Oryctolagus cuniculus: one gene and its partners. The protein of the gene in region 1 purifies or fractionates together with the protein of each later gene. This does not show direct contact. Links are inferred from orthologs where the notes say so. Each region holds a gene or a part of one and is shown on either strand. Other genes may lie near its edges.

What was found.
Region 2: the proteins of PRKACB (region 1) and AKAP1 purify together in Homo sapiens (affinity purification with mass spectrometry; 4 studies listed by BioGRID and IntAct, counting the BioPlex papers as one, with this or other methods). This does not show direct contact. The link is inferred for Oryctolagus cuniculus from reciprocal best matches to the Homo sapiens genes PRKACB and AKAP1.
Region 3: the proteins of PRKACB (region 1) and AKAP9 purify together in Homo sapiens (affinity purification with mass spectrometry; 5 studies listed by BioGRID and IntAct, counting the BioPlex papers as one, with this or other methods). This does not show direct contact. The link is inferred for Oryctolagus cuniculus from reciprocal best matches to the Homo sapiens genes PRKACB and AKAP9.

Annotation. Positions count from the first base shown.
Region 1 is NC_091438.1:87,119,622-87,123,370, forward strand, and holds the start of PRKACB (cAMP-dependent protein kinase catalytic subunit beta), read right to left. Parts: upstream 2,569-3,749; 5' UTR 2,431-2,568; coding exon 2,244-2,430; intron 1-2,243. UniProt on the Homo sapiens protein: Mediates cAMP-dependent signaling triggered by receptor binding to GPCRs.
Region 2 is NC_091448.1:32,671,252-32,674,900, reverse strand, and holds part of AKAP1 (A-kinase anchor protein 1, mitochondrial), read right to left. Parts: intron 1,475-3,649; coding exon 1,297-1,474; intron 1-1,296.
Region 3 is NC_091447.1:43,775,742-43,779,490, reverse strand, and holds the start of AKAP9 (A-kinase anchor protein 9), read left to right. Parts: upstream 1-1,133; 5' UTR 1,134-1,219; coding exon 1,220-1,267; intron 1,268-3,749. UniProt on the Homo sapiens protein: Scaffolding protein that assembles several protein kinases and phosphatases on the centrosome and Golgi apparatus. Required to maintain the integrity of the Golgi apparatus. Required for microtubule nucleation at the cis-side of the Golgi apparatus.

The DNA of each region.
Region 1 (3,749 bases):
TTGAGGCAAGCATACTCACAGTGTTTATATTCATTTTTCTTGTCAAACAAGTTATGCAAGCAATCTGCTTTACGTAGTTTGAAGAATGTAGTTTGTATGAATACTTCATATAGTCAACAACAAAAAAAAGAAGGAAAATTTCTGTTTTAGCCACAAAAATAAACCTTTGAAGTTTGAAACAGTAAGATTCCTCTACTTGTATTCTATCAGTGTTCTCTCCACTACATTAGCACATTCCATAATAAAAATCTAGAGCTCCATGCTTATTATTTTCATCCTTGCATATAAAGTTGTGTCAGCTACATTTTGGAGACAGGAAAAGAAGAAATGGGCAGAGGAAAATTAAGGAACATTCAGTTACCTTTTTAAGTATTTCATGTACATTGTTTTTTATTCACAGGGTTACACTGTTCCTAATTTTATTTGGTACAATGACTCTAATTGCCTTACTTGTTGATTTCAAAATAAAGAATCTGTCAACATCTTTTCAGTCTGTTTTTCTTGAAAAAAAAATCATGGTTCATAATATTATTTTCCATTGGGAGACTTTTAAAATGCATTTCAGAACACATCAAAGTTCCCATACATTTAAAAAATGGTGAGAGTCTAGCTTAAACATAACATTATTTTTTTATAAAAACATTTTTTATCCAAGAGACAGAGAGAGTGAAAGACAGACAGACAGACGTAGTTTGAAGAATGATTTGCTGAATGATTACGTCTGATTTGCTGGTTCACTCTCTAAATGTCTACATAGCCAGGACTAGGCCAGGTGCCAGGAACTCAATCCAGGTATCCCTTGTGACATTTATTCATTTGTAATAGATTCACTAAACACCACAATACAAGCATGAGTAACAGGTATTGGGGAATATAATTCAGTTTTGTCCTCATTCCTTATTTAACTTTCAATTAAAAGACCTTTGAAATGCATAGAAATGATTTCTGAGAGGGCTTGGGAAACTGCAACTGTACAGAACAGGGCAAGTGGAATAAACAACAAGCTTTCAAAATACTCGCAAAATTTTAGTAATGTATTACTAAAATTTCAGCCTTCAATAATTCATTAACTTGAAAATAAATGTGATTGATTCCTTATCTGTCAATTTGCTATAAAGACTAACTATAAAAAGTCAAAACCTTTTGAGTTAAAAAAAATTACGCCAAGTATGTTCATTTTTATCTTCTCCCTTAAATTTAGCTTGAAGAATGTAAAAACAAATCATGATGTAGTAAAAAATAATTCATATACGTTTCTGTAGAATGGTCAATGTGCTGTTTAAACCAAGGAGCAAATTTTGTAGACTGTTCTTACTTTGGTGTTTTTACAGCTAAGTTTTCTTCCTTAACTGTGTTGGAGTATATGAACAGAAGTGGCAAGCCTTACTGCTATTTGGTGATCCAACACCACAAATGGCAACAGTGCCAAGGGTAATTCTACTGTCCCTGTAATCACAGTGACAAAAATACTTTGGGGAGGGTCCAAGGTGAGATGTGGGATGGAAAAACTGCTCTTGTTTATATGCGAAACTTATCTTTTAAAGTGTACGTCACCAAAAATGATCCTATCTCACCATTTTAACAAAGAAATTATTCCAAATATTTTAATATGTCTAGAAAGAAAGTAATGCATACATAAACAATGTTTCCCTTTCTAGCCATATTTACAAGTAACATAAAATACAATTATGAAAGCTTAGATATCCATGGTTATAAATACAAGGTTTTTACATAGAATAATCATACTTTGCTTTTACTCTAGGAAATCCTACTAAAAACTGAAATGACTTTCACACATACATTTAAAAATAAGACAGGAACCACAATAGAAATTTAACTGCAATTCATGAGACTTCTTGCCTCTTTTAAAGTTTAAATCTTATAAATATAAGCAATTTGAAAAAGTAAACAAGTCATTGTATCTAAACTCTAGGTTTTTAATTTTAAAATACAATAAAAAATCAAAAACAATAACATACACTAGAAAGGATGTGAGGGTTTTATAGAAGATTTTCTAACTGATATTCAACTTAAATAACCATACATAAAACGAAACAATGAACAATGATTCTGCTCAACTTACAATCAAGTTTTAGTGAAATGCTTTCAACTTCATCTTGCAAAATGCCCTTGTGCAAATTATAAAAGACAAACAAAACCAGTTCTTTATGTTTGATTCTAAAACTCCAATTAGTATTTTAGCTGCTAGTTATAATGTATCATTTAGAAGACAAAAAACTTACTTGATCTGTCCCATAAGGCAGTATGTTCAGAGAAATGAAGGCTGTCATTTTCCAGGGCTGTTTTCTGATCATGTGCAGTACCTTTAGAGTGTCTATGAAATAAACGGCTAGCAAATCCTTCCAATTTCTGAAGAGCAGTAGTTGTACCTGTATACTGGTTACACGGTAGTTCTCTATAAGCTGCCATTCATGTACATTTACACTTTTCTTAAATTAACTGAAAATACTTTCAGAAGGAGTCCAACAACTTCTTACACAGAAGCTAAGAGCTATGCATGTGTCAAACTTCCTGTTTGCAGGGTATTCAAACCACTACTGCTGTTCTGTTTCCTGTTAATATAAAACAGCACATTACTGAGCTTTTCTTAGCCAAACCTTTTCATCTCAACTAGAGATGGGGATTTTTAAAAATTGCAATATTTGCTAAAGGCTCTATGTTTGAGTGTTTTAATATTAAGTATAGGTTTTGAGGAGAATAAATATAGAGTAGACTGAAAATTTTTTAAAAAGAAACATTAGTATAACCCTGCAAACAACTGAAGGCTAAACCTTCCAAATGTAACATGTTAAAATGGTAGACTAGTTTTTCCAAGAAATCACTAATATACAGATTTTATGAGTCTTTATAATTGGATAACTTTCGATAAAAATCTGGTATAGAATGGATATGACAAAATTCTTACAAAAATGTATAACACATATGTTATAATTAAGAAAAATCTGAAAAGCATTTTAAAAAGAAATGAATGTTGCTAATGTATTGACTTAACCTTAATTTATATAGAAACTACAGAAACTAAGTATGTTGGTATTGCTTATCGAGCTTAAAATCTACTAACATGTTTCTAACTTCTAGGAGTGAATTTTAGAACACTCTAAAATTTGAAAAGAGGTACAAAGTAGAAAATTTGAAGTTATATAAGGTAATTACAAATTATAATCATATATCAGCCATAGCAAGAAATTTCAACAGAGAGAGAAAAAAGTTCCTTCTAGTTGACTAAGACAAGTTAATTTTAAAATGTTAATTTGAAAGACTACTGCTTATTTGATCCTCTGATTTACTGGTCTCACTCAGAAATATATCCTTTTATAAAAGGTAAATAAAACTTGCCATCTTTAATTTGCAGGAAGAAAAGTAATTTTTGACATTTAATAAAGATTTAGAGTACCTGACTTTTGACATTAATTAAAGGATGAGAAATTTGTGTGCTATTTTTGAAAGCTCCAAATAACAGAAAAAAGGAAAAGAGAAAATAAAGATCTTTAAAAGTTCTAAAACAAAAATCTTATTTTAGATTTCCTGCCAACTAATCAATAAATACAATAGGAATAATAATGTAATCAAATTAGAAGAATTTCTAGACAGACACATACAAGTTTACAAATGAAACACTGAATTTTGCCATATATCATCTCAGTGTATTCTTCAAGAAAATCAATATTAATTTAAACAAATAGGAAACATTATCTATAAGACTACACTTCTTAAATATGAAGCTTTAC
Region 2 (3,649 bases), on another chromosome or scaffold:
CCAACCACTGCTGACCACCTCCCTGAGCTCTTATTCAGAGGCCTGCACTCCATGGGGAGGGGCAGGAATGGCAATGTACCTCCAACAAAGTCTCCCCACAGCCAAGATGATCCAAGGAAGAACCAGACATAGGAACTCAGCCTAGCTGTGTGCCCAGCTGTGTGTGTAGCTGGAAAAGCATTTCCGTCTAGACCCACTGCTCTGAAATGGGACACAGATTAGCCAGAACAAACCAAGGAAATACAGAACTCAGATGCCAGACCCTGACTTACATTCCTGAGTATAGATCTCAATGGAGAGACTCAAGGGACTCTCAGGCCAGTGACAGCCAGGTCTTCTAAGAAGTCTTTGCCTCAGGACGGTGCTCAGAGCATAAGGCTGTGTGTCACAGGGCCACACACCCCTACCCTGGGGCAACCATGGGTAAGAGTCCCCAGTGCACCCCTTGCAACTGCTCTGGGACATCAGGGATGAGGATCTGGGACATGGAGCTGGCTACACTGGGTCCTACCCCATCAAGGGAGCCCTTAATACAGATGCCTCTTGGACTCTGGTTCAGTCTTTACTGCTAAGTTGAACCAATTTTAAGTTTTCTGATAAAAACTAAATCCTTATGCTTCCAAAAGGGAAAAACCACAAAAAAATGCTATAATTTCAAAAGGTTCCCTGATGCCTTGAAGCCCACTGGGAGACCCAGGATAGGAACCTTGATGAGGGTGGGTGGAGAGATGTTCAAAACCCGCAGACAGGATGATAAAGGACAGGTGACAAAGGACAGGCTTAGGAGTCGGACTAGTTTTGGATCCCAGCTCCTGCTCCAATGTCACCTGGGCAAGTCACTGGATTGCAGAGGCTTAGTGTCCTCACATGCTAAATGGACATGACCCAAGCTACCACACAGGCTTGTTGGGCTGAGGATCTTTTAAAGAAACCAGTATATGCATCAAGTGTTTTTTGTATAACACAGAGTGGCCAACCTTAATTCCCAGAACAAGTAGTTACACCCATTTAACAGATTCTAAGTGGCAAGACTGAGATTTGAATCCATGCATCAAAACACTGCTCAACCAATGGAAACAGCAGCTTGGCCTGCTGGCCATTAGCTAGGTGGAGGAAACTCAGCCCAGCACCACTCCATAACATTGGCAAGAATTCAGGGATGCCCTGCCCACGATGGGTCTCAGAATAACTTCCTCCTCACCAAGAACAAGGACAAGACATGCAGCCCTCAAGGATTCCCCCATGGCCTGGCCAGAGCCTGAGATCCCCCCTGCCAGGCCCCAGGACAGCACTTACTTTCCACCGGGGTGGGCAGGGTAGGGATCCCAGGCTGAGAGTAGCAGAGGTACATCTGCTGGTCCAGACTGCGCAGTGCATGGAAAGTAGGGTGTGTGTGCTGCTGCACAAACAGGTGCCCCGCGTTGACCTGGTTGACCACGATGACCTCCACAGTGACACCATCAGGCAGCATGAGCTGTAAAGGGGAGGGGCAGCAGGCACTGTGACAACCTTTAAGCCCCGAGGCCCCAGGACAAGTCTCTGAATTGGCACATCCTTGAAAGGTAGAGCAACCCAAGACAACACAGCACCCAGATGGCAGCCACCATGAGCTAGTTAGCCAGAGGCCCACTGTCCTGCAATACCAAGAGTGGCCTTTAGGAGGAGTGTCACCCCAAGGCAGTGCAGGGAGGTTCTGGGCATCCAATAGCCCACTGTGAATGTGGTACTGGGCCTCACACAGGTCTCGATAGAATCTTTCTGCCAGAGGTTTCCCTCCCTCCCACCTCCTTGATGAGTCTCTAAGACTCAGGGAGGTAAACAGAATGAAGCAATGATGAGAACGAGGTGCCGGGGGATAAAAGGCAGCCAGCCCAGGCCCCTCAGGACCAGCAGCTGACCCTAGAAGCCCAGGGCCTGACAGTCTCTAGTCTGCATTCCTAATGACAGGTCCACTTTCAGGGTCTGAGTCCTAGTTGCTCTTTCTGCAGCTTCTTGTCTTCCCTACATTCCAGACATTCCTCAGCTCACTGTCACTTTGGGACTCAGCAGGCACATCCTATATTAAGGCCCTGGAGGAACCCCCACATCGTCTCTAAAAGCCTTATTCCTCAACAGCAGTTTTCCCCATGCCCAGCTACAGACAACATGTGGGGTGCTTGGGCCAACAGAGAGTCTGTTCTACCTTCCAGCCAGCTGTCTACAACAAGAGAAGCTCCCAGCAAAGAGTCCTGGCCTCCATGCTCCTCTGTCAGCTCAAGGCTCTGGAAGTGCATGTCTCGAGATGACCTCCACAGTGAGGGAGCAGGAAGGGAAGGAAGACTACACAAAACCCTTCGTTACTTAATATGAAGGTTTGAGCCAGGCCTCCTGGAAACAAAACTGTGACTTGAGAATAAAGCATGGAGCAAATACTCCCAGAAAGCAAAAAGGGTTCCCTATCCCTTCCCTACAGCACAAGGGTCTTCCTAGAGGAAGACAGAACTGCCATGTCTCAGCCTATACCAAACCCAGGGGAGGTCTTCTTGGAGCAGCAGGCCTAGCCCATTTTAGAGAACTGCAGGAAACAATCTTTGGCCCATAGAACGCTGCACTTCTCAGTGAGAGGGGCTGGACCGGGGCCAGATGAGATGACAGGCCCCAAACATCCCGCAGCACCAGCACGCAGGGGCCCTCAAGATGCAGGCCCCTGTTCCTGCCACGCTCCCAGGTCAACGCTATAGAGCGACCCAGCTTCTGGGCCTGAGGGAGAACTCTGAGGGTACTTCAAAAGGTTCTCAGCAACACAAAGAAAAATGATTATTTCATGCAGAAAAAAGTCTGAAGTCCATATTTAGTTCTTTTTCAATTAGCAATTTCACAAATGTTTGGAGATCCCTTACCTGTGTAGATTTAAACATTTTTGTACCAAACTTAAAATTTTTTCTTCCATTTATCTGAAAGGCAGAGCAATAGGAGTGAGAGATTTTCCATCAGCTGGTTCTCTCTCCAAATTCCCAAAACAGCCAGGGCTGTGCCAGTAGAAAGCCTGGAGCCAAACTATCTGTGACACCCTTGTGGGTGGCAGGGAAACAAATACTTAAGCCATCACCTGCTGCCCCTCAGGGTGCACACTGGCACAAAGCTGACCCCAAAGTGAAGACAGAACTCAAACTCTGATACTCTAGGGGGCCGGTGCTGTGGTGCAGTGGGTTAATCCTCTGCCTGAGGTGCCAACATCCCATATGGGTGCCAGTTCTAGTCCCAGCTGCTCTTCTTCCAATCCAGCTCTCGGCTGTGGCCTGGGAGGGCAGTGGAGGATGGCCCAAGTGCTTGGGCCCCTGCACCCGTTTGGGAGACCAGGAAGAAGCACCTGGCTCCTAGCTTTGGATCAGCACAACTCCAGCTGTTACGGCCATTTGGGGAGTGAACCAATGGAAGGAAGACCTTTCTCTGTCTTTCCCTCTCTGTCTGAACTCTGTCTCTCAAATAAATAAAAATCTTTAAACAAAAACAAAAACACAACTCAGGAGGCAGATCTCCAAAGAAGCTTAATAGCTGCACCACAACACTCATCCCTAAACTCATCTTTTACTTCCATTTTCCCATGAACTATTTGAAGTACCCTCTTATTTATGAAATATAATCTAATTAGCCAGGGAGAGGGAAGAAC
Region 3 (3,749 bases), on another chromosome or scaffold:
TATTCACTCTAGGAACGGAGGGTTGGCGAATGGGAGGGTGGTGAAGGGGGCAGGAGGAGGATTGCGGGGCCAGGTGAGTGGAAGAAACGGAAGAGTAATGATCAATTTATAGACGTGACCAGTCAACCCAGCAGTATTTATTCGGAGCAAAGCCCTGTGCTAGTCGTTTATTAATGCCACGGTGAGCAGGATCCATGAGGGGGTCCGTGCCTCCAAGGAGCCAGGAATATCAGGTGACCTAAGAAGCACGCAAGCCAACAAAACGCGTGCAGAGGACATCAAGGAAATTCGAGAAAAACGGCAACCGACATTAATTCGGGGCGATTCGGTAGGCCAGGGGCAGTCACAAAGATGACCACCCTTCCCCAATCCCAGGACAGGTAACGTGTGTCGTGTCAGGTGGTGCGCCCGGGCTGGGTCCCCGAGAGCACCGCTGCCAGAGGCCCCAGCGAGGCTGGATGGGAGTGCAGGTTCAGCAGGAGCCCTCCCGGGGGCGGGGGGCGAACAAAGACAGGAGCCGTGTGCGTGCAGGCGGAGGCGTGCGAGGTGGGCCTCGGAGGACCCGGCAGCCTGGGCGGGAACCGGCGTGGGCCAGGGGGCGGGACTGCGAGGCCAGGGAAGTCACCGCCGCAGTCGCCGCTCTCCCGGTTTCTGGCGTGGAGGAGTCCACCTAGGTTGAAAAGCCGGGGTCCGGCAAGTCTCTCCCGCCTGCTGGCCACTGTGGCTGCTCAGAGGTCCTTCATATCTGATGGCTTCGTGATTGGAAAAACCGCTCTGTTTGAAGAGCGCCGAGTCCCGCGCACCGTGGCGGCACTGCTGGCCGGCGGGCGGGCGGCCCTGGACACCGCTCCCGCCTCAGCCCCGCCGCCGCCGGGAGCCGCCGGGAGCCGCCGGGCCGCGGGAGGACGGCGCGGGCGGGGGCGGGGCCGCGGCGCACCTGCCCGGCGCGGCGGCTGCGCGGACCGACGTCCCCCCCCCCCCACGACGCCCGCCGAGTGTTTACGTGGAGACGAAGATGGCGGCGGCGGTGACGGCGCTGGCCGTGCGGCCCGGGACGAGCCGCCAGTGAGCGCGGAGGCTGCTCGCGCTCCGGGCGGGGCCGCGCCGCGCCGGGCCTGCTCGCTGGGCCGCGGAGCTCGCCGCCCCACCTCCGCCTGAACCGACCTTTCCTGTCTCCCCCAAACCCCGCCCGCTGCTCCGCCGCCTTCCCGCAGAGGCCATGGAGGACGAGGAGCGACAGAAGAAGCTGGAGGCCGGCAAAGCGAAGGTAGGAGAGGCGGAGGCAGCCGGGCCCGGGGAGGGAGGCGGCGGCTGGGCAGGGTGGGAGGGGGCCTGGGAGCGGAGCTGGCGGCGGCCGGCGCGCGCTGGCTGGCGGGGAGCGAGGTGCCGCGGCCCCGCGTTTCCCCCTCGCCCCTTGTTCCAGTAGGGGCGAAGCCCGGCGCCCCCTCCTCGCCGCCGATACTTGGGTGCTGAGTGAACGGCGTGGCTGCTTTCTCGTAAATGCCCAGGGCTGCCGTCAGCTGGTGTTTAATTGCTCCCGAATCTCAGCCTTTCACTTTCTTCAGGGGGTGTTCTGGGCGGTGCAGGCGTTGTGCTGCCCAGCGAGGAGATTCAGGGCTTCTCCTTTATTTGGGGGGGATTGGCGCGCGGCCGGCGGCTCGCCCGCCTCTCTGGCACGCTGGCACTCCGGGGCGTGTGTGATTGGCCTGTGACAGCTGCCTCGGCAGTGGCTCGAGTGTGCCACAAGTGCCAGCTGTGAACTTGGCTGCAGGGGCGTTGACAGAAGCGTGCCTTTGTATGTCTGTCTGCGGAGGTCTTTGTCGCGGCACCGAGGCTGTCTGCATGGAACTTCTGGGAACCCAGAGGTTCTGTGTTCCAAGTGACACCTACAGAATTCCTGCTTTGAGTAATGTCGTTGTCCTCTGTGTAGCTCCGGTGAGCCGCTGTTTCGTGTGTGTGCGCGCGCGCACGAAAAAGCCTGTAAAGCAAACAATACAAAATCATACACAGGTGTCATTCCTTGGGCTTCATGAAAAACTTGACACGAGATACATTTGAATAACCTATTTCTTTTAAACATTGCGTGTTAGACGTGTCTTCTGGTTGGCCCCAAAGGACCCCTTCTTCTTTACAACGAAATGACCTTTTGTAGGTTATCTGCTAATCTCTGTAGAGGTAATTGTCAGCAATCATACTTGGACTGCGGTTAAATGGTAGTGTAGTTAACTGTTTCTCCTCTCCGCCTTCCCTCCCCTCCCCCCACATAAACAAAGGAAACCGGGGCCCTGGCTGCAGTCCTCCGGGAAGGGCCACCTGCAGAGGTGCAGCAGGAGAGTGCTCATCCCAGGTGTGTCTGCCTGCGTGTGTAACGTAGCAATGCAGTGGGCTTTGCAGGAAGCTCCCTCCGCCCGAGGTCCAGGCTCACAGGTAGCCAGGTGGACTTTTAGAATCTGTACATGGAGGGAAGGGGAACAGGGCACCTTCCAGAGCCCCCAAATTGCTTACATTACACAAACCCCGTGTGTCCCTTGAGGGAGGTTAGCTGTGTGCTGGCTTCCAGAAGCACTGAAGTTCTAATCTGTCTGGCTTGGGAATTTTTACTGCTTGCCCCCAAAAATGTCTTTCCTAAAAACATGTGAAGCAGTCCCATGAAAGGTGATTTACTTTGGACAGACATATATCATGATAGAGGATTTAATTAAATAGTTGTAAGTAGTTGATTTGGCAAAATGGAGTTCTGTATGCTCTAGCGGTGTGTGTGTGTGTGTGTGTTTCAAAATTCTACCAATGGAGTAATGTTAATAGGTTAACTTGTATTTCAGAAGTTTATCTTCTTCTGGAGTTAAGCCTGCTTTTCCCAGTGAGAAATCTGTGAAACGTATAAGGCAGGATATGTTTGGGGCCACATTAGCTCTGCAATAAAAATACCGAAATAAGTCTTGAGAGATGATATGAAGAGACTGGCTTTCTAAGATGTATAAATGCAATGGAATAGTATGCAGCCATTAACGTTATGAAGACTAACAGCATGGAAGATAGAATGAAAATGGCATCATCAAAAATAGTCTATAAATTATTTCCTCTCTATATAAGCATGTGTTTTAGTTAGGACTGAAAAACATTGGGTTCTTTTTTTTTTTTTTTTTTTTTTTTGACAGGCAGAGTGGACAGTGAGAGAGAGACGGAGAGAAAGGTCTTCCTTTGCCGTTGGTTCACCCTCCAATGGCCGCCACAGCCGGCGTGCTGCGGCCGGCGCACTGCGCCTATCCGAAGGCAGGAGCCAGGTACTTATCCTGGTCTCCCATGGGGTGCAGGGCCCAAGCACTTGGGCCATCCTCCACTGCACTCCCTGGCCACAGCAGAGAACTGGCCTGGAAGAGGGTCAACCGGGACAGAATCCGGTGCCCCGACCGGGACTAGAACCCGGTGTGCCAGCGCCGCAAGGTGGAGGATTAGCCTAGTGAGCCACGGCGCCGGCCCAAAACATTGGGTTCTAAATGTAGTCATTCAGCACAAGCCATCTTGAACTCCCATGTTATGCCAGGGGCTGGAGATATAGAGGTGGTGACAATCTTTTTTCAAGTTAGATCACAGTGTACCCTAGAATGATACCTATCAGTGAATGCTAAATAAATGAAGAGCAGAATGACTAATGAGTTGTTAATGGGTGCAGCTTTACTAGTATGGTTATAGTTTAGTAACAATAGGGGCCAGCGCTGTGGCATAGTGGGTAAAGTCGCTGCCTGCCC